Styela clava: one gene and its partners. Each later gene encodes a partner of the first gene's protein in a complex. Links are inferred from orthologs where the notes say so. Each region holds a gene or a part of one and is shown on either strand. Other genes may lie near its edges. The genes, in order: pre-mRNA-splicing factor RBM22-like, pre-mRNA-splicing factor SPF27-like and pre-mRNA-processing factor 17-like.

Region 1 (7,789 bases):
TAATACAAAATTATATTCTGTAATTCCTTCCCGAGATCAAAATCCTAGTTGGGAACCACTTAGAATATACCTTTTTCAGGGTAGTTACATGATTACTGTTGAATATAAATTGAAATCATTACTATTTTATTTGACGCAATGTGAGAGTCATACTGTGTTTTTTCGCAGTTTAAATATTTAATTTAATTCAAGAGTCTTGCTGCACACTAGCATAAATGTATGTCTGTAACGTTTCATTTATACGAGGTCGAACTTCTTCAGACAAGCATTTTTCAACTGTTTAAATTTGAACATTTATTTCTGAAGCTCATTTTGAGAAAATAGTGTATAAATATTTTATAACCAAACTTGAAATAATATTTACCTCTCTTTCCATATTTTGAGTATAAAATTCTTTGTTTACGTCTGATTTGGGAAGATCGTCAATCAGTCCCAGTGCATGGTCTCGAACTTGAACGGGCAAACCTGAAAATTAATGTAAACATTTGCCTGAAAAGCAGAGCATGTCCCAATTTTGAAATTGAATTTGACATAAGTATGCCGTAGCCAATTTTTCAACATGGCTGCTACATCCCAAAAATCTCATTTCTCGTTTGTTTACTTGAACCGTATTTCATTCATGAAATATATTAGTAGTTAGTTGAATAGGCTTACACATCCTCGAAAATTTCACACGCGCTATGTGTCTAAGATTTTGCAAAAATATCGGAGGTTATTTGTTTTAATGGAATGCAGTGCATTTCTTTCATCACATGGCCCGAGCATAAAAACATCTCTTTACCTTGTTGGAAATAATTACCGGTATGCATTTAAAATAAGGCTTATAAATTTAAGTGTTTATTCAAGAGTACTAATACTAACTTATAGATATACAACTAGACAAATTTTGTTTATCGTAATCCTTACCATATTCGAGATCCAGTAGGCAAGTTTGGCAGATATTTTTGAGTTTTGAACAAGTTTGACAGACTTCAGTTTTCTTAAATCTCATCCTGGCACCCGGACACCATCGGAATATTGTGAACGGTCGATCACAAATTTTACATTCTTTGCCAAATTTTTCCTTAGTCTATGAAAAACAAAAACAGTTGATTTCTTCTCATTAGTATATAAAGTATGGAAAAGTATATTTGTATTGAATTCATCTATAGCAGGGATGTCCAAATTGTGGACACTAGCATTTTTTATCCGTTAACTGCTGTAATAATTTAAGATTTTTTAACCGATAATTGCAGATTTTTTCATCGAAAAATTTGGTTTGTCTTAAATCTTATCAGAATATTTTTCAGCTATTAAAGTCACTAGAGGTAGATTAGATAGCAACACAGTTACACTTAGTTGTTTATAGGATTTTAATCAGTGAAGTGAAATGTTTCAATTTAAAAAAATTGAAATAATCACTGAATCATGACAATAAGCTACATACCGTATTTATTCGATTATAACGCGCAAAATTTTGAACTGAATTTTAGGCAAAAATCAATGCTGCGCGTTATACACGAGGTCTGAGAAATGCGGTATTGAAAATGTGGTTTTAAACATCTGAAACGTGCGTGCGCTCGCGCATGCACATTCCAATGCAGGACGATTTCGTGCAAGCACACGCACATGCGACAGCTCAGCGTGCGTTTGACATTCGTGCAAGCGTTCGATTTCGTGCAAGCACACGCACATGCGACAGCTCAGCATGTGTTTGACATTCCCGCTGCGTTGAGAATATTTATTTGCCATTATCGTACTGTACTGTAGATACCCATTATATATTACCCATTATCTATTATGGCAAGACAAAAACGTTCTGCATATAGGGCTGCATTCAAACTGGAGGTTGTTGATTATGCGGAAACTCATGGAAATAGAAAAGCTTCTAGAGAATTCAATGTACCAGAGACAAATGTCAGAGATTGGAGAAAGCAGAAAGTTGTTCAAAAGATATGAACAAAACAAAGAAAGCGCGGCGAGGGAGACAAGCCCGGTACCCAGAGTTGGAGAAGGAGCTTTATGATTGGATAGTTGATCAAAGATCTAGTGGGTACATCGTCACTTCGCTCCATATTAGACTCCGTGCACAAAAGATTTGCAAAGATTCAACCTTTAAAGCATCTAATGGTTGGGCACAAAAGTTTATGAGAAGGTATGGACTTGCACTACGCCAGAAAACAAAAATTGCACAAAAGTCAGAGACTGAATCCGATTTTGAAGAGTTTTGAATTACTGTGTGCTTTTAATAAATTTTTGTTCATGCTGTGAGTTGTTACCTTATGTGCTTACCAGTAGTTAGTAGAGAAAAAATAAAAAAAAGAATTTTATACCAATTTTCATTCAAAATTTAAAGGTGCGCGTTATACCAGTATACACGAGTGCGCGTTATAATTGAATAAATACGGTACATACGACTACAACAAGCAATTCTGTCGATGGCAACACAAAAACTTACCATTCTGATGTATGGATTGTCTCCAAGGCATGTCTGGCATAGAATCGGGAAATCCTAAAGTCAGAAAGTGAAGATTTAAATTTCAGTTTCAATATTCATCACACTACAATTTATTAGGACATTTCTGTATCAACTTGTATAATTATACTTATTATTATCATTCGGTTCATACATGTCAGAAGTCAAACAAAAATAAATGATTCTGCGATTTGAGGTCAGGCAAAAATTAAAAATAATTTTGTTCTGATTCTGGTTGTCCAATTGTATATTTCTCAACCTTTCCAAGCTATTTCATGTATTTATAGCTTTATTCCTAATTCTATATTTATTCCGTATTAAGCTTATTCAATTGTTTGCAGGTATGGGTGCTATGAATATCAAGTCATAAACTTGACAGAATGATTTTGACAACTCACCGATTCTTCCCAGTTTTGACGATTATATCGGTTAGCTCCTAAAGATGTCGCCATTCTTGATATTCAAGTGTTTCCCTATCTTAGATCGCGACTTCAATTGTTATACCTCCAAACCAAAAAGTAATACCGGTACCGGTACCAGGCAGAATGCAAATAGACTATTCGGATCTTAAAGACTGTGAGACGTAAAGATAAACCGATCAAGAAAAACGAACGTAAGCTTATTTTCGCGTTAACCACTGGAGCAAATTAGTGTACGGAGTCACATTACAACCAGCTTTATCAATTTTAGCACCGGAGACTAAAATACTTCGACCAAAATAAAACCAGGAAAAAAACACGGACTAAATATTATTTTAACTATTCAAGTATCGCATGGTTACAAATATATCGAATTGAACAATATTGTATACGCGAACCAAAATGAGAGAAGTGAAAAGCTGAAAAAAAAACAGTCGGATACCAGCACAACTACATCGGAGACATAAGTTATTTATCCAAAAATAGATATCCGCGTGTAGTATTTGGGCATTTTCATGTCCATCAGTGCCTAACCAGTAAGAATTTAATGGTGATGCAACATTTGGACTTATTTTTTTCTGGTAAGCGACCGAGGGGCTCTAGTTGCTCTCATCTATTTAAATGTTTATCGTATCCCTCTTTTCACGAGCGAGAAACCACCGCCAATCACATGATTAAGAGAAAGAGAGAAAATTTATTGTTCATCAACCAGAAAACGAACATTGCAACAATAAAAAATACTAAGAAGTTTTTGGTACAGACCTCGGGGGGCGATACGACCACGAGGTCATTATATTGTATTCCTTATATTGTATCGTATTCCCAATATTCAATATATTGTATTATGTATAAGATTGACCGTTATTGTACGTGAATGTAAATGTGAAAGAAAATGTCTTATAAACTGTCCTTTCTACTGGGGAAAATATGAATAATATTATCTTTCTGTAACTTAATAATATTAAGTTTCTGTGTTACCAAAATCGGGGATTTTAATTTCGCGTAACAGTTGTTGTCGGTGACCATGGCTTTAACGAATTAACCAACCAACATCGCTATCTGGAGATTACGGTGAAGGGCCATCATATGCGCAGGGTACTCTCAATAAGATCACAATACGATAAAATTTACATCTTGCACCTGGTCCCCATTAACTTTAATAACAACACCTTATTGCAAATTATAATTTGGCTTTGTGTGTTGTATGATAGTAGAGATGACGTTACATTTTTACTATTTGGTAGGTTGCTTTGTACAATAAAACAAATCTAGTTTACTGAATCTCAAAGGTTGTCCTGTGTATTGGCGAGCAAACATTTCACCAGATTAAATCAGATTCGTGAGTCGTGACATACTTTCCATTCGAACTCAAACCCAACTGAAAAAATTCAGGTCAATTAGCACTTAGCAGGTCTGTTTTGAACGCTTCAAAAGCTTATATTTTATTCAAATTGTTTACATATATAACAATGCTATATATAAAATGCAAAACTATAAGACTAGCAATATCTATCCAACTATCCAAAGGTTTAAATCCGGTGTGGGCAACTTTTCTAGTCGGCGGGCCAGATGTGGGAAAATGAAGTCCTCGATTGGTCGGATTCTTACAAAAAATACTTCGGTATCCAATCTTTATTAAATGCTCGACACTCTCTGTCAACTGTACGTTTCTTGGGATATTCCATGGTCAATAAAACCTAATATATATCTATAAAATCTAATTTCTAAAATCTATTTATATTTAGAATTTAAATATGACTGATAACAGTGCTAGGGAATGTTTACAACGCTCCCTGCTTTGACCTTATATTGTTTGTTTAACAAGTGTGCTAACGCAATTGTTTGTTCACTAAAGCAATTGTTTGTTTCACCAGCTCGCACTGACAGTGCGGTGGGAGTAGAGCGATCGGCAACTTTCAGGAATGATGCGTCGGATCACATTACATAGTGTGGTTGGATACAGTCAGCGGGCTAGTCAAAATCTCGTCGCGGGCTGGACCTGGACCGCGGGCCGTATGATGCCCACCCCTGGTTTAAATAAACAGTCATGGGACAGACATTTCTTCAATTTTTCCCACGCCTTTGCGTTGCCTGGTTTTAAGCATTCAACGCAGTCACATCTGACCTCGAACCCATATACTGCGCTGTGATCAAGAGTTTATGCCAAAGTTGAAAAATCACACTTTTATTTGTTAACTGCTATGATTTTGACATTCACAAAGTATTGAGGGCGTACAAAAGCGGTGTTAAAACATGCCGAATTTGCTTGCTTCTCCAAACGTATATAGCATATAATATTGTCGAACCAGCTATAGAAGGAAAACACATGATTTCATATATTTAGGTATATTAATAACTTGTATTTAAACGTGCTTCATTTTCAACTTTTTTCTATCTAACTATAAAGTGTATTTGAATTTTATATCAGTATTTCCAAGTTTGTTCTTCACTTCTTTGTCCATCTGTTCAGATTGAGCAACCGTGAAATGGTCTTTCCAACCACCAACTTCACCTGATAGAAAAAACGTTTTATATTATATATACGATATTTTAAATTATTCTAGAACTTAGCTTGCACAAAAATTTGGTATATATATCTAATATTTCGTCAAAACAAAGTCAACGAATACTTAAAAGAAAAAGAGAATAACACATTTCTCACGCTCATAAACTTCTTAATTAACAATTCAACAATTAAAAAAAAATTGAAAACGCGTTGATTTAAAAGATTTTTAAAATGGCGAGAACAACTGTTTGGAACTACAACTGTGTGCTGGCATTAAAGCAGACTCTGCTATGAATTTACGCCTCACCTTTTCTAAGTATTCCAAGTTGATTTCTCAAATTTTGATCAACATTTTCTTTTCCGCTTTTTTGATCTGATTTTTTCATGCTCGAAAAGGCAACTTTCTCGGCAATTTCTCGTATGTTTTCTTCAGTGAGATTTAAATCCAAAAACTTCGCCATTCTGCTAAATTCTTTTACCGGATTCTATTACATTTGATATATATATATATATAAACTTAAACATATAGCAATAAATGATAAAATGGCAGAAGGTGTGTTGTTATGAGATATCATTTTTGTACATACCTGTTTCATATCTTCGTAATAGAAAAACATCACATTCTTATCGTCTCTATGCTGTAGCCATCCTAAAATATGGTCCAAATACCATTCCCCGTCACGCATACCGATGGGCATTTTGCCTAAATATAAAAAAAAAATGTTCTCTGAATTCCGGTAAAAGTGTATCTCAGGCACACAGGAATGACACGATCGTGCATATATTTTTTGAAGAAATCACACACACTAATCCCACAAACACACACACACATATATATACATACATGCTTGACAAAGTCGCCGATAAAAAGTAAAGTCATATACTACTCAAATGGAAAGATAAAAATGTTAAATATATACCCGCAATAAAGCTGTCCAGAAAAGTAGCCCAGTCTGATCCAAATAATTTATCTAGCGGTTCGATTTGTAGATTCGGCAACTTTGGAATGAAGTTAAACCAGGACACTGCTTGATCTTTGGGATTGCGCAACACGTAGACAACCTAAGAAGAAACAGTAAACTTGAAATTTTCGGAGAGCAGCGAAATGGTTTATAATAGATGGAACTCTTTCTTGACAAAAATTTTCCAGGCCCAGGGTAAATATAAAAAACAAATAGTATATATATATAGTAGTTCGGCACAAAACGGGTGTTTTTAATTCAGAACCAAAATATATGAAACACTCCCTAATAATATATATATATATATAACAACTGATTTTACTAAAATGTGGAATAAAAGAGTATACTGTGTAAGGACGCCTCTTTAAACTAAAACATAACATATCGTATTTGAGTAGATGGGTGAAATACATTTTTTGAAATGTTTACCTTCGCGTTGACTTTCTTGATTTTGTCGACATTTATCACTGGTGCAGGTAAATGTGTGCATAATATTCTTTTTTTTAATGGCATTGCATCAAATATTTTGTATTTTTCAGCTGCAAAGACAAAATTATAAACGATAAAGAGCCGTAGGCAACTTTAGTTCGGCCATTGGTCGATTATCACAAAGATAGCAAATTGAATCAAATATTCAACTAAAACCTTGTCATTTATTAGAGAATAGTAATTAAAGATGATTAGATTGTAATCATGGTTCTCGAATGAGATTCAAAAATGAAAACATAGCTTACACCACCCTCCTTCAATAAGGCTCATGACCATTGGCTGACTTGACATTATTCTGTAGTCTCGTTCTTGTCCAAAGTATAACAATTGTTTTACAATTTCGTTTGTCCAATTTAGTCCTGTAATAAGAGATGGGTAGATGACTGGCTTCAATGTGGATATTTTAAAAACCCATAGAGAATTCGGCCAAGCAACTTGTCTCTCGCCCCTTTTTAATACAAACCCCGACGTGCTTATATATAATCAATTGGGTAACTATGTTAATGTACTATCAAATACGGCAGGAGATCTAATCTTGACTGTCCGATCCAAACAATATGTTTTGTCCCTAGACTATGGTCTGCGACGCAAAAGATGCGCAACAACTAATAGTTGGATAAATATAAAAATTTATATTAATTAGAGTTTAGACGATTAATGTTAAAACTAGTCGTTACCTTTTTTCGCAAACAAGACCTACATCCCACAAGATCTATGGTATCCCAAAAATATTTAATAATACAAGACTACTATAAATTTTATACCTGTTTTAGGATAGGCCACAACGAATACGTCGCCTTCTCTTGGCGTCCAATCTTCATAAGCAAACCGGACGGTTTCAGCTTTGAATGAAGGTTGCATTTTATGCCCTTTCCAGTCTTCAATGGGTAAAGTCTTTTTCTTGACAGTAAAAAATTCTGACATATCAATGCTCATCATTTTATCCCAAATGGGAACG
Region 2 (7,611 bases), on another chromosome or scaffold:
TACATCGCAAATCATTTTCCAATTTACCCACGTTGATCATGGGGTAAAATTTGGAGACAGTAGCCAACAAATGGATAGGAAATTGACGTGCAAATTTTGAAAAATTTTTGGGGTTCATCAAATAGAACGCGGCAAGGTGTTCAGTGCGCAGACGATCGCCTATTTGATTCACCAGAATGTCACAGCATTCCTTTGCAGACAAAATCAAACGCTGCGTTGTTTGCCCGCGGCGTAAAGAAGCACTCCATGTGTCGTCGTATTTTATTGTTTCCCGGATACGAGATACAGTATCGCAGAAGTCTGAAATACACGACTGCACAGACGCTTTATCCATCAGCCTTGACTGCAATGCGCCGTATAATACATCCACGTGATAGAATATTGTGGAGAAAAAAGCGAGAAAAAATGAAAACTCACCATCTTCTAGCAGACGCTTTAGACCTGCCACCTCCCTCACAGAGCGTTCGTCCCAAACCGGAGAGCTCTGAATGCCATTGAAACACTCAATGAGCTCAGACCTAATTTCGGACACACTCTGCACCACGCGTGATTGGAAGTTCCAACGTGTTGGTGCACAAGCTGGGAGACGGCGGCTACATATCTGGCGAAGGAGGTCAGAGCGCTTCGGCGAAACGGAAAAAAATGAAGAAAACCCCGAAACATTTGCAAAAAATATACGGACGAGAGGGGTATCAAGACACATATTTTTAATAACGAGGTTAAATTGGTGTGCATAACAATGTAAAAAATGCGCATGAGGAAAGTCTTCTTTTATATAAACTTGAACACCATGTTTCGACCCACTCATGACTGCCGCGCCGTCATAAGTTTGAGCTATCAATTTTGACTTCGCGTTGTAAGGCTGTAACACTTCTTTCAGTACAGCCGATATCCCGCAAGCCGTGCGATCAACGATTGGTACAAAGCTGTGAAATCTCTCGGTAGGTTTACCATGTTTCACAAACCGAAAAGTCACAGCCAGTTGGGAAACGCACGTGATGTCAGTTGTCTCGTCAGACTGAATCGAAAGGAACTGGCAATTCTCAATTTCCAGAGCCAAATGTTGTAAATAAATTTTATACATTGAGTCGAGCAAATCATTTTGGATATCCTTAGATGTCCCTTTCGAAACAGTTGCGGCATCAAGATGATCTCTCAATCAGTGGCGGCGCGTGGTCATTTTGACAACCGGGGCAAGCTACTGCGGCACCAAGTCACCCCCATCTACGGGGACAGGATGAGCGCTGTAAGTTCTCCCATCATTTTATGAGTATAAAAACCATTCCATCGGTAACAACCAATCGGCAAAACCGACAATTTTTAACGATAAGGAAGTGTCTTTAAAACCGGTCCAAGTCAAGGGATTAATAAATATAGACATAGTTTATTTTGAAACCTCTTTCAAAAGGAAAGGCAATATTTACCCAGATAAATACAATGACATATTAACAGAAACTTCGGGAAAGCAGACAAAACCTAAAATAAGGTTTAAAACGTTACTATGAAAGGAAAGGTAATGCAAAGATAAGGACATGCGTCGCTCACTCATAGATATATATTCTGCTAGACTTCTACTGCTTGAACATATATGCAACACGCCGCGGTTTCTTGGAAGCAAAATACTCAATAACGCGCTGATTAAAGTCATGCATCCCAGAAATAACGTCTCTGTGAATGGATAAAACAGCCAAGGAATTTAATCTATCTTGCTTCATTGTGTTTCTGAGATACGTTTTAATACGCTTCAGCGTGCTGAATGTTCGCTCTGCGTCGGCGGAAGAAATAGGCGTCGTCAAAATGATGTCCAGAAATTTTGCAGACGCCGCAAAGGTAGTTACTAGAGTGTTATCTATGAGGAACCCATAGAGCGCGCAAGTTGATGTGATGTTCAAAAAAGTTTGATTGGTGTATATACATCGCAAATCATTTTCCAATTTACCCACGTTGATCATGGGGTAAAATTTGGAGACAGTAGCCAACAAATGGATGGGAAATTGACGTGCAAATTTTGAAAAATTTTTGGGGTTCATCAAATAGAACGCGGCAAGGTGTTCAGTGCGCAGACGATCGCCTATTTGATTCACCAGAATGTCACAGCATTCCTTTGCAGACAAAATCAAACGCTGCGTTGTTTGCCCGCGGCGTAAAGAAGCACTCCATGTGTCGTCGTATTTTATTGTTTCCCGGATACGAGATACAGTATCGCAGAAGTCTGAAATACACGACTGCACAGACGCTCCATCCATTAGCCTTGACTGCAATGCGCCGTATAATACATCCACGTGATAGAATATTGTGGAGAAAAAAGCGAGAAAAAATGAAAACTCACCATCTTCTAGCAGACGCTTTAGACCTGCCACCTCCCTCACAGAGCGTTCGTCCCAAACCGGAGAGCTCTGAATGCCATTGAAACACTCAATGAGCTCAGACCTAATTTCGGACACACCCTGCACCACGCGTGATTGGAAGTTCCAACGTGTTGGTGCACAAGCTGGGAGACGGCGGCTACATATCTGGCGAAGGAGGTCAGAGCGCTTCGGCGAAACGGAAAAAAATGAAGAAAACCCCGAAACATTTGCAAAAAATATACGGACGAGAGGGGTATCAAGACACATATTTTTAATAACGAGGTTAAATTGGTGTGCATAACAATGTAAAAAATGCGCATGAGGAAAGTCTTCTTTTATATAAACTTGAACACCATGTTTCGACCCACTCATGACTGCCGCGCCGTCATAAGTTTGAGCTATCAATTTTGACTTCGCGTTGTAAGGCTGTAACACTTTTTCAGTACAGCCGATATCCCGCAAGCCGTGCGATCAACGATTGGTACAAAGCTGTGAAATCTCTCGGTAGGTTTACCATCTTTCACAAACCGAAAAATCACAGCCAGTTGGGAAACGCACGTGATGTCAGTTGTCTCGTCAGACTGAATCGAAAGGAACTGGCAATTCTCAATTTCCAGAGCCAAATGTTGTAAATAAATTTTATACATTGAGTCGAGCAAATCATTTTGGATATCCTTAGATGTCCCTTTCGAAACAGTTGCGGCATCAAGATGATCTCTCAATACTGTATCTAGGGATGCGGTGTATTCCACTATATCCAAGAATACCCCTCTATTAGAAGAGCCAGCCCGTTCATCGTGCCCACTGAGGGACAGCTCGTGACAACCAATGAACTTCAAAACATCTATCAATCGACCGAGAACATGGCGGTTTTTCTCGACGTTTTGGTTGTGCTGACGAATAGAAACCGCGCGTCCTTCATCCAACTGTGCTGCAATATTAACATTTCCGAATGTTCGGTATTTTACTGCATTGTCCAGATGCTCCATAGAAGATTGATGATCCCTGGCACGCTCGGAAAGATGTTTAAGATCTTTAAAATCAAATTTACACCAACGTGAGTCGCAGGCGGTAGCAAAAAGTAGGCAATGAAAACAAAAAAGTGCATTTTTGTCCTCGCTGTAACACAACCATTCGTGTTTTTTATACCAAGTTTCTGCGCAGAATGTACGCCGACGCTTTTCTCCGTCATGGGATTGTTCCAGTGAACAATTTTTTGGTTGATAAGGCCCAAGACGTTGTACCTCTAATTTTTGTTCCAGCGGCAGCTGCGAAAACGGAGTGCGAAGTAGTGCATCAACCTTATTCATTATGAGTTCTAAGGCTAAGAAATGCGAAGCCGGAAAGAAGTGAGGAGCTCAAAAGGAATGTGGAAAATCGAAAGCAAATGGACTAAAGGTCTCTAACTGATTCAAATAGCGAAACAAGCGACAAAAACGAAGAAACAGAAAACAAACGAGACAAACGCGGCGAGTGGAAGATAAAAGAGAGAATACGATATACAATGAGCAACCGGGGCAAAATCGGCGTCGCCCCGTCAACGTTCGGCGAAGGCTTTGCGAGCGAAAAATGAACCTTGTCGGGAGAATATGGCTAGTGTAGACAGTCTGTGCAACCGATATTGAGGTATTTTTCGAATATTTTCTATTATACCGAAAAAACAGGTTGGCCCTGTTGACGCGCCGCCACTGATTTTTGCAATGTTCGCGGGCCACAACAATGCCAAGAATGGGTAAACAGTTAAATACAAAATAAACACTTTTATTGTACAAACACATTAATCAGCATTTGTCATTTATCAACGTTAGTGTAAGATTTCAAACTCTTCATAACGGAAAAATATCTTACACAAATGAAATGCTTTCGAACATCAATAAAATTTTCAAAGCAAAATCTTAACTTTGGAAAATGCTCATTGCTCACAATATTCTAAAATTCCGTCCTAAATCATATTCTTTTGTCACCGACACAACTTGCCGACATATCTAGCAAGCATTGTGGTATTTTCCCTCCCACGTAGGTTTACCATACGTCCCGCTTTAGGCGGGACAGTCGCGCTTTTTATCCATCCAGCATAATACACGAACATGTTCTCGTTACTGTTGTTGCTGTGTAGCGCAACGCTAGCCTACTTACTGAAGGAGAATGAGTTATTTTGGAGTATTTGGTTGTATTAAGGCTCGTTTTGGCGCACCTTAATACACCGAAACAGAGTCGTTTTGGGTTCACAGCCCCGCTCTGCACGCATTCCGTGAGAGGCCCTTCTCAGCGATTTTTTAAGGGCCTGTCTTTAGTAAGAAGCGACGGTCTTGTGAACGACCCGAGCACTAAGCTTTCGGCCGAAGATCTTGTAACTGTTTTATAAGGGAATTGATTGAACTGTTCTTAAGCATCGAGTCAACTACCGGATTATATACTGCCTGCGATTCACTGGACTTACTCAATTGGATATACGAGCATAAGAGATTTACCATCATACCTCTCGGATATTCAAGATGTCCTACGCAGCTGCTGCAGCAAGAACTGGAGATGAAGAATCGACGATGACCAGACGAAGAACTCTGTTTGTGGAAACATCAAAAGAAGTAGAATTCTCGGAGCTCTACACTGCATTTAAAGAATCCCCACAACTAGGAGGTTACACGGATCAAATAAGTGGTCTTTGGGAAATAGCGAAGAACAAGTGGGTTTTGTCATTTCATCCTCTGGAAGATAGCCAAGAGAGTTGTGGAACCGAACTGATGAATTCAACCAAGGGTGAAGTGAACACCCCAGATCTGTCATTGAAGTTCTCTTTCCCCTCACCACCACCTATCCGGGTATCAATAAGAGGAATTGCGGACAAAACATCTCTCGCAAAGGCGATCGAAACCATGAGCAATAAGGGAGTTGGCAAAATTGTCTCAGCAACGAGGGTTTTTCACAAAGGAACAAAAATATATAACGGTCCACCACGTTCCAAATAAAAGAACTCGACATCGAAAAGCTCCCGACATTCATGTCAATTGACGGAATAGGATGTAGAACCTTCGTCTCGAGGGAACTTTACGTTCCTTCTTGCACCAAATGTTTAGAGAAGGGGCATACGCAGGGCAACTGTGAAAATGAAATACGATGCCGTAAGTGCCAAAAAGAAGGGCACATGAAGAGAAATTGTCCCGTAGGAAAGTCCCCGAAAAAAACAATACAAAAAGAAAAAGAAAATGTCGCACAACCAGCTTCGATTGAAATGACAAACGCCAAACTAAAATCCGGAAAGCCAGAAACTCCATACGTACTAAAAGGTTTTAGTTCAGTTAAAGCACCGCTGTTGAAAAAAGTAGTCACACAGACCGAAATTCACAGGGAAGATCCCGAGATTGAAGAAAACAAAACCGCAGAACAAGTATCTTCAACGAACCCGTTTGAAATTTCCCAAGTAATATCGCCTATTGTACAAATTGTCCCATTGGAAACAAATCAGGAAACCGAAATGGTTCCACAAACACCAGAAATCCCTCTAGAACAACCAGTCCCTCCGACTCAATGGTCGGAAGAAATCGAACAATCACCTCTAAGCAAAACTGATGCGAAAGAGAAAGAAGAAGTCCCCGCCCTAATTGATAAAGGCTCATTGGAAAATCTATTCAGCCCCAGAGCACAAAGATGGACTCGGAGGAAAACCGCCATCATTCGCTCGCCAACGCGAGAGAATCTGAATACGGCTTTTCAATCATCACCGCTTCCTAAGGCTCATAATATAAGCTTTGTCGAATCACCATCTCGACAAAAAAGAACCGGAACTAGCCCAGACAATTTATCCATGAAAGATAACTCCCAAGTTAGAACTTCAAAGAAAACAAAACAAGATACCAACCCCCGCCCACGATATAGCATTGTCAAAACACCCAATGCTCGTGGGAACGATTAGAACTCAAGATTTCTGAAAAAAAAAAACGGAACTTAATAAAAAAATCATACCTGAGACCGACAATTCGAACCCCGCCCATTTTTAATTTCGATTTAATACAATGAGTAAAATTAAAATAACAACCATAAACATAAATGGACTTGGAAAAAATTGAATAGTTTATCTAATTGGTTAACCAAATATAGCCCTGATATTTTATGCTTACAAGAACTGCATAAAATTGATGAAAAACAAATACAACGATGGGCGGATAAGCTCGGATACAAACTCGATGACATTATAACAATAAATAGTGTCAAACCATAAATGAATCGAGTAAAATTAAAATAACAACCATAAACATAAATGGACTTGGAAAAAATTGAATAGTTTATCTAATTGGTTAACCAAATATAGCGCTGATATTTTATGCTTACAAGAACTGCATAAAATTGATGAAGAACAAATACAACGATGGGCGGATAAGCTCGGATACAATATATTTTGCAACACAAGTGCTGTTGACTCAGCCATAAAGTACATGAAGCAGGGAACTGGTATAATGATAAAAAAGAGAGATGACATAAGAGTTTCAAAGTATACTAAATTTATGGAACATAGGATGGAAAGTTTAATTTTGCATCATGATAAAGGAGATATTATGATCTTAAATGTATATGCGCTCTCGGAACGGGGAACGAGCCAAACTGATTTTTATGGTAAACTCGATGACATTATAACAATAAATAGTGTCAAACATAAATTGATTGTCATAGGAGATTTTAATATAGTATTGGACGAAAGAGATGTACTAAACAAAAACAACTTTAAACTCACCCATGCCGAGAAACTGTTCAGAAAGACGATCTCAGACAGCAATATACTTGATACGTATAGATATAATAAACCAAATAAAATAGTATACACGTGCACTACTGGAAATCAAAGTCGACGAATCGATAGAATTTATCATCAAAATAATTTGGACCCGCTCATTCATAATATAAAACATAATATCAATACCCTCTAATATAATTCCTATACTTATACTTAAAACACCTCAAAAAACAGGATGGGGAAGCGGAATTTGGCGGTTAAATTTACTTCACTTGGACAACGAGAATTACCACGAAGTAATTACAAACACGTATAATAATATGTTGTGAGAAAGGGGAAATTTTAGCTATATCCAGGATTGGTGGGATGAGTGCAAAGAAAAATTTAAGAAACAAACGATTGGATTCTCAAAACTGAAGGTCAAAGAAAAACATATAAGGGAAGACCAACTACATAAAAATTTAAAGTTATTGATAGCAGATGAGAAACCTGAGAACCAATCGAAAATATTAGTTTTAAAAACGCAACTCAAGCAAT
Region 3 (8,009 bases), on another chromosome or scaffold:
CTTTCACAGTATTTATACACCGATATATGCGAATGTTGATGCGTTTCTACTGCGATCGACAGAACTTAATTCCGATCTCGCAGAGTTGATTGGCGCATTTAGGATTGTAGGCCTGTTCTACCACAGCAATGAAATTTGACTTGTTTTTATTTTACTTTTTTATTATTTACAGGCGCTCTAGTACTTCTTCCCATACTGGGCGTTCCGTGGGTGTGTGGATTTCTTGCTCATTTCTCTCAAGTGTTCACAATGCTTTTCATAATTCTCAATTCAACGCAAGGCATTGCAATATTCATAGTATATTGCCTTTTCAACGGAGAGGTAATCTGATTTAGTAAGAAACCGCTTTATTATTTGTTTGTTGCCTTTTATGCTTGAAGTGTTTTTTGTGATTAGGTGAGAAGAGCGATTCATAGAAGACTGGAAAAACGAAATATGAAATATGCTGTCGACAACGGAAGACGTAGAACGAGCAGTACAAGTACTGTCGCCCGTAGCTTTCTTAGATTTGGACGGAGACGGAGCACTGTAACCACAACAGCATGAAACATCACAGTCAAATTCGCAACTTGTAAATAAATGAGCATTTTGCCAAAACGCAAACGTCATATGACCACTTGAAAGTGGGATGACATAGCTACGATATATGGCCTTTTTTCTACTTAATTGTATTATAAATGTATTTGCATGCAAGTTGTTTTCCTTTTTATATTGCTGAAAGAAAGATGGTTTGATTTATTGATCAGCTACACAAAATGTGTATTGCAAGTCATGTATGTAAAGACTTTTTCACCTAATGATTTTGAGCGGCCTCGCCCTAAATGAAAACAATTATTTTTGTTGTGCAAAACCAATATTCTATAAGGAAGAGAAATCAATAATCTAGGCCAGGGGTCACCAAACTTTTTTGACCGCGGGCCGGGTATGACTCAAATTGTGTTGAAACGGGCCGGATGAATATTTTTGTCAATGCAATACAATAAATTCACAAATGTTGGGAATATCGCAGATTATAGATCGAGAACATCCTAGGAAAAAAAATTAACAAGATTTCTATATCTAGACAACTATCCTGAGTTTAGCTGTTATCAAAACGTTGCTGTCATGAATTAGAATTGTTACAAAATCCGCGGCAAAAAATGTACGCATCACGTCTGCTAAGTACCGTTACGCCGTGTTGAAATACCGCTCATAAAAACGACTGCCTGCTGTAGCTTGGATTTCTATGAAATTTTGACATATTTTAGATAAAATAAACAACTATTATCTGGTATTTGAATTTTTTCATTAGCGCACAGATTTCCCAACATTCGACGCTTTCAAAAATTACGCTCCAGTTATACGTAGTGAAAATTAATGATATTGTCTATGGACACCAATAAAATTTATATGGACGTGTGTATTTCTTGTCTAACTTGATACTTACCAATTTTTATGAATTTCGTACAATCAGAACATCGTTAATTATTACCCACAATGAACCACTGTCAAACTATCATGAACAACTCCAGCGTTTATTTGCGACGATCTTCCGGCGGTGTCAATGACCGTTGCCAGAATAAAATCCTGAAATAGTCTCAATATACCATAGATGTGACGCACATCGAAAGATTAGTGATTGATATGTGTTATTTTTCCATATTCAGTACAGTTCTTATCAAAAAAGTAATACAATCATTATGGAAAAAATTGGCTGTCGGGCGGTACTAAAATTCCGATATCTCCGTTATTTCTTGACCGTTTATTCCAAACTTGGTATTGTTTTCTATTTTTACTCAGATCTTTCCACTGGAGCAGTTTTTATTTAAATCGGATGAACTTCAATTTTTTTGTAACATACCTACATGAATATCCGCATTAAAGCAGTACAAAAGTTAGTGTGGCTTTTGAAATTGGAGCAGTACGCGAGGGATTACAGTACTGTTAGCACAAAATGAGCATTCGACGTTTATTTTAGCACGAAAAACAAACAGTTTCGTCGAAAGCAAGCGCCACGAGTGTACAAGTGTATCTCAGAAAACGTTACGTACTGGTAGCATTCAAAGTCGCAAAAACGAAGTTTTGTTTACAACCACGACTGAAAATCTGTCAGGGTGACAAAAGTGTATGAGCGGATGCGGAAAGGCCTATTATTACGTCAATTTTCTGCATCTTGCCGATTGGCCAATGTTACGAAATAAACAAGGAAGACGATGCTCGTGAAAATCTTTCTTGGAAAAAAATTTAGCCATTTTTGCGCGTTATTGCGGACCTGATAAAATGACGCCGCGGGCCGGATAAAATGACGTCGCGGGCCGGATTCGGCCCGCGGGCCGTAGTTTGGTGACCCCTGATCTAGGCCTACATGTCACAAATTACATAAACGGATATCGGCTATTCGCGAAAGATTAAATGAGTCATCTAGTCGACAGCTTGCATCCGAATTCAGGCAACAAATATATCGATAGAACATGTCAATAATAAAAATTACTAAATTGAACATAATCGTACAAGACGAAACAAAAAAAATTTGAAATAAACTACGGAGTACCACATTGACAATGGAATATTAAACATTTACTCGGTTAAAACAATCAAAGAAAACAGAGGAAGAACAAAAAAAATCGAATTAAACTATGAGATGCCAGAAACCCACAATTATAAGTTATTGGATACTATAGAGCAACTGCGAAACTTGTAAATAGGACAACATGAGCTCAATGAGAACGGAACACAACAAAACAGTGTAAATATGACATATTATTACAAGCATACGATGTACGCCAAGATGGCGTGCCCAGAGTCAAGCGTTTGGGTGGGAGAGTTGATATTCGACGAATATCTCTTGTTGAAAGAGATTATTACTGGCTCATCAAAATAGTACAGGATGAAGAGTAAGTTTTGCAAAATTCATGGCTTGGTTGAAAATGATAAAACAAGAGCAGTACACGAGTAGCAGACAAAAGCAAATGACAAGCCTCAACGCGTATTGTTTTAAAAGGGTAAAGGAGCTATAACCCAGCCTACTTAATGGAGCAAGCGGGTATATTAAGTAACACAAGGCCTAGCACTTACTGGAATTCTCTCCCCTTAAATGAAATACTCTTCCCTTAAACTTGAAGACGTTAAGTCCAAAAAATCTTTTCAAAAACAAGTTAAGTTTCATTTAGTTTCCAAATGTTAAAAATTACTATTTGGAAACCAACATCTGGTGATGTTCGTTCACTCCACACTTGCACATTGTATTGTTTTTATGAGAATGTTGGACAGCTATATTAAAATTGTTATATGTTACCGTAGCTTAGCCTGACCTAGTCTGGCACACAAGAAATGGTACTGTGACATGCGTGCTGTTTTTTTCTCTTTTTTAACAAGGTAGCTGGAAGTATTTTCTTTGAATAGCTGTTCGCTTTATAACCCTAATGCGCATGTCTCTCACGTTTTTCTTCATGTGAGGTCATTCTTAACATAGATGCATGGTTTTATGTTTGATTGGGGGTATAAGGGTTGTAGATAGTATAATATAGTTACTGCAAGGTTACTAATTATTGCAACTAGGCGAGCAGAAGAGCTATGTTGAATTCTATCCTTCAACTATTGATTTTGGGTGAATTATGTCGTATAATTAGCGAGTTATTAATTAATTAGTGATGGGACACAAGGTGTCAATATGGAGTAAGAGCGCGGTTTTGGGGATACCCTAACTTTCGATCGATAAGTCTTCGGTCTCTGACCGATATTCTCGTTTATGTATTCACGCATTTTATGTTTAGGCATGGTATTGGTGTGGAATTGAATTGATGGCCAAGGAATATATAGTGATCAAATTTGTGGTGTTTTTGCATGGTGTGACAAATTCTTCTCTGTCTCAAGCATAATGTAATCATAGATCTAACCATCGCTATATAATGACAATACATCCCAGAAGCATTTAATTAAATGTGATACAGTAAATCAAGACACGTACAAACAAATCAAAACAATGCTTGTGAATTCTGCGCTCAGACAATTATAAAAACAATTATCAGGAAAACACTAACTGACTAATAACGCGCGTAAACATGTAGGCCCATATAATTAATGAAGCCAATGTTCCTAAAAACAGTAGATACACAAAACAAAAACAATAATACGCCATGAAATGAATGTCTAAAACGTTATGAATTGGCCCGTTTATATCAGATTATATCAGTACGAATTCTCATTTAGCCTGTCATCAAAGTCATTGTAGAGCAAATAAGTACACATATGATTATGAAGAGTATTCTGATTCTGTTATATCTGTCACCAAGAAAACCCAATACAATGCCTATGATAGTGAAGATCGCCACAAAAATTATACCAGCAAGAAGTTGATAATCTACAGTCTACTCTACACCATCCTGTCATCGCCTTTGTAATCCCAGATGCAAACTTGTGTTCCGTTAACCGTGGCATTAGCCTACTCCACAAAGTATCTCATTTCCCGACATATTGCTATATGAAGAGAGAGAGAGAGTTTATTTGCTTTGTCCACCAGAAAACATATACACAACAAAAACATAATTAATAAAAAGCGAAACAGTTCTCGGTATAGACTGGGTGGCAACGATACGACCATGCGGTCATCGGGGTCTGTTACCACCCAACATTAATATCAAAAAACATGAATAAAAAAATGCTTCAAATATGTTTTAACATATTTTAGGTGTGTCCAAAAATAACATTAAGTTTTCATGGAAAGAAAGAAAATTAATAAAATATTTACATAGAATAAAATTAATAAAATATTTACATATAAGCCGAAGATTTGCAGTCATGATCGGGCATGCATCCCATCTCGCCAAAATTCTTTCTTATATGAAAATGATAGTTTCAAACTTTTAAAACTTCAAACAATTTGTAGGCGCGATCTCTCAAAATAAGCGTCTAAAATTTTGCAATGGCGAAGTGTAGGGAGAACTTTTCTTGGGTCAAAGGTCGGGAGAACGTCCATGCAGCTGTGGTTGTTTTGGTTAGATTTCTAGTGTTTCAGAATTATGTTCACTTTGGGTTAGTAGACCAAAGCCCATATATACAGATATTGAGATATACAACATTTCTAACAGTTTAAAAGATAAATGGCTGCTATATTCGCTTTGAAAACTGCATATGCAGATTCAGATGATAGTGATGGGTCAGCGGATGGTGAGATCGCGGCAGGCAAAGTTATTTCTGAAGAGTCAACGCTTCACTTAAAATCCACAGATGGTCCTTCATCGAGTTCAAAAATGCAATTGGTTGTTGCGGCTCCTGAAGTTATAACTAAGGTAAGATACAAGTCAATTCTGCAATTAAAACTGTACCGTATTACATAACGTAATTTCAGCTTTTAATTAAATTCAAGCACATTGAGAAAAACATGTGTAATTAGATGAACTAGCTTGGTTCTGCTGTCCCCTACAACAGGCTGCCCCTAGGCCCACCTCTAGTCAGGGCAACCTGAGCTTCTGGAACCTTTTGTTTCATTATTCAGTTATTCTTCAAAACTCATGGTCATGTACAAGTTATATTATTAAAATTATTAATAATTATATATTATATTATTGGCGCGGCGGTGTGGCTCAACGGGCTAAGCGTTAGGAATACGCTCGCCACCGCACCTCTAATTACTCTGCGTGGGTTCGCAGGTTCGAATCCCATGCAGGGATGGTTATGTGCGAGAGGATTGCTGGACTCCTCGCCGTCGTTGGGTGGTTCACGTAACTGCTGGTCGGTTATGGCTTCCTCCACCACCAAGTCCATGCTTCAGAAAACAAACAATATAACTAATCCCATACCCGACTTGGAATGGTAGCCGGACGAGAGGCCGTGGTGTGCCATATGGACACCACCGTCTTATCAGCTTTCCTCTCCCCCAGGATAAATATGTAAATCCTATCCTATCCTAAAATATAGAACTGCATCTTCTTCTTTAATCTACACAGGAGGATGTACAAGGAACAAAAGCCATTGATCATGTCACGAATAAGGAGGTTATGTTCAATCCAACATATCAACAGATGTTTGCACCAGAACAGGTTTTATTTCTTTAAAGATTCCATTGTTGAAGCCTTCTTTTCTTGTTCGTGGTGAACATGTGATTAATTTTGTTTACAGGGACCAGCAAATCCATTCAAAACAAGGCAACAATTGGCACAAAAGAACACATTAGCAGGCTTTGTGCAAGAAGCTCATGTCGATAAATTTCAGTTTGAAAATCAGAGAAAGACGTTTTATAGTTATGGTATGGTGATACACTACTGTTCTATATACTAACATTGGAGGAAAATCGGTCACATTAGGTCAGTGGTGCCCAACCACCTTTTCTATAAATTCAAGACTTTACTTCCCTTGAAACTTTTTATTTCTTCCTCTCCCTGGATAACGCTGCATCGGGTTATGTGGAATTACCTTATTCATGCATCAGAGATTGCAGACTTTTGGTGATCAAGCTACTCGCATAACAAATTTTTATTATGAAGCCATTCGAGCATACAACCCAACCCTGTTAATAGTTTTCAATAAGTCAAAACAGAAACATTGTTTCATAAAAATCTAAATACCAGCTGTATCTATCTGTTCCAAATTATGAGTGCTTTCTCATTTATTAACTTGTTCATAAAGAGTATATAAAATACCTGTTGATAAGTCAATCTTTATTGCTAATAATTTTCTATTCTTATTATGTTCTCACTTAATTTTCTAAATATATCTGAATATGGCATTACAATCTTTCTTCAGGCTATGCAGTCGATCCTTCCATTGATGAATCTGGAATTGATGAAACAGCAGGAAACAAGACAGTGATTGGTATGTTTTTATGTTTTTTTTATAACTTCTATGATTACTGAAACTTTTGGGTGCAATCATACACAAACAAAAGTATTATATATATTTGCTTCATTTACGTTGAAGTAATTAATAAATTTATAGTTCTTTTCTTTCTGGGCCACCCTGTATTTTAAATACTCCCATGTCATTACTTTTGAATCATTTTAATAAGTCCATCTTGCAGCAAATTTGAATTTATGTCATATTCGAAACTAAGCCATTCAAATTTTCAATATCCAAATTCCAACTATACCGAAAGGAAAACAGTAATTCCCGACACAGAATCTGATAACATAATTTTGTTCGAATAATTTTTTTTAGTTTTGTTTTTAACTAATTTTTTCGTCATTCCTCAATCGGATATTATTTTTTCCAGCTGATGTTGGTGAGGAACTGATGGCCAAAAACAATGAAAAAGAGAGAACTGTTTTTGAAAAAATCAAAACAAGAGAGGCTGATAAAAGGAAGAGACAGAAATGTGATAATCCTGAGGATATTGACGGATTTCTTGGACCTTGGGGTGGATTTGTTGACGATGTTAAAATTTCCAAACCTTCTGAGGTAACTTTTAATTGCCTAGCATTGACTTGAATATGCAGTGAATTAATAGATAAGAAGCATTATATAAAAAAAGCAGTTTTCGACATAGCCTACTAAATTTATTTATTTTAGACGCTGATTGAGATGAGCTTGGGTTTTAACTTGAGTTTTCATCTTGCGGCCACAAACTAGCTAAGCCAACGTGCATATTATAGCTATTGTGCCTGATAAAATGATTTGTTTGTAAACAGTTATTTTGGTATGGTTTAAATCACTAGGACATGGTGAATGGGGTTTGGTGAGTTTCAATAAGTCATCTCAACATTCTCAAGTGATATATTATATATCATGTAATAAAAAAAACAAGAGTGATATTACTAATGTGTATTTGCATATGGATTTCAGGAAGAACAGATAGAAATCGATGAACTGCTTGCAAAGCGTAAAAAGAGAGGGAAGAAAGCAGAGGAAGCAACCATCGAAGAAAAGACAACATTACATGTCAAAAATCCAAATGATTATCAGGTAAGTGTATCACAATATATTACAGTGAAATATAGCCAATGAAGGGATGCAGTTGTTGATCAATGAAAATGACCGAGCATAATACTGGATTGGGCTTGAAGAAAGTGTCCTGAAATTTGAATGCATATTTTATT

Evidence for each region.
Region 2: pre-mRNA-splicing factor RBM22-like (region 1) and pre-mRNA-splicing factor SPF27-like share a complex: the UniProt entries of both Homo sapiens proteins name them as parts of the postcatalytic spliceosome P complex. The link is inferred for Styela clava from reciprocal best matches to the Homo sapiens genes RBM22 and BCAS2.
Region 3: pre-mRNA-splicing factor RBM22-like (region 1) and pre-mRNA-processing factor 17-like share a complex: the UniProt entries of both Homo sapiens proteins name them as parts of the postcatalytic spliceosome P complex. The link is inferred for Styela clava from reciprocal best matches to the Homo sapiens genes RBM22 and CDC40.

The regions. Positions count from the first base shown.
Region 1 is NC_135260.1:8,230,063-8,237,851, reverse strand, and holds the start of pre-mRNA-splicing factor RBM22-like, read right to left. Parts: upstream 3,050-7,789; 5' UTR 2,908-3,049; coding exon 2,854-2,907; intron 2,492-2,853; coding exon 2,438-2,491; intron 1,070-2,437; coding exon 907-1,069; intron 466-906; coding exon 365-465; intron 1-364. Other genes in the region: cytosolic sulfotransferase 3-like, read right to left, coding at 5,274-5,386, 5,688-5,865, 5,968-6,083, 6,301-6,442, 6,772-6,881, 7,077-7,190, 7,596-7,789. UniProt on the Homo sapiens protein: Required for pre-mRNA splicing as component of the activated spliceosome. Involved in the first step of pre-mRNA splicing.
Region 2 is NC_135258.1:22,062,360-22,069,970, reverse strand, and holds the start of pre-mRNA-splicing factor SPF27-like, read left to right. Parts: upstream 1-4,511; 5' UTR 4,512-4,526; intron 4,527-7,611. UniProt on the Homo sapiens protein: Required for pre-mRNA splicing as component of the activated spliceosome. Component of the PRP19-CDC5L complex that forms an integral part of the spliceosome and is required for activating pre-mRNA splicing.
Region 3 is NC_135252.1:3,245,593-3,253,601, forward strand, and holds the start of pre-mRNA-processing factor 17-like, read left to right. Parts: upstream 1-4,933; 5' UTR 4,934-5,078; coding exon 5,079-5,267; intron 5,268-5,924; coding exon 5,925-6,017; intron 6,018-6,096; coding exon 6,097-6,223; intron 6,224-6,720; coding exon 6,721-6,789; intron 6,790-7,186; coding exon 7,187-7,371; intron 7,372-7,755; coding exon 7,756-7,875; intron 7,876-8,009. Other genes in the region: uncharacterized protein LOC120342711, read left to right, coding at 173-321, 397-546. UniProt on the Homo sapiens protein: Required for pre-mRNA splicing as component of the activated spliceosome. Plays an important role in embryonic brain development; this function does not require proline isomerization.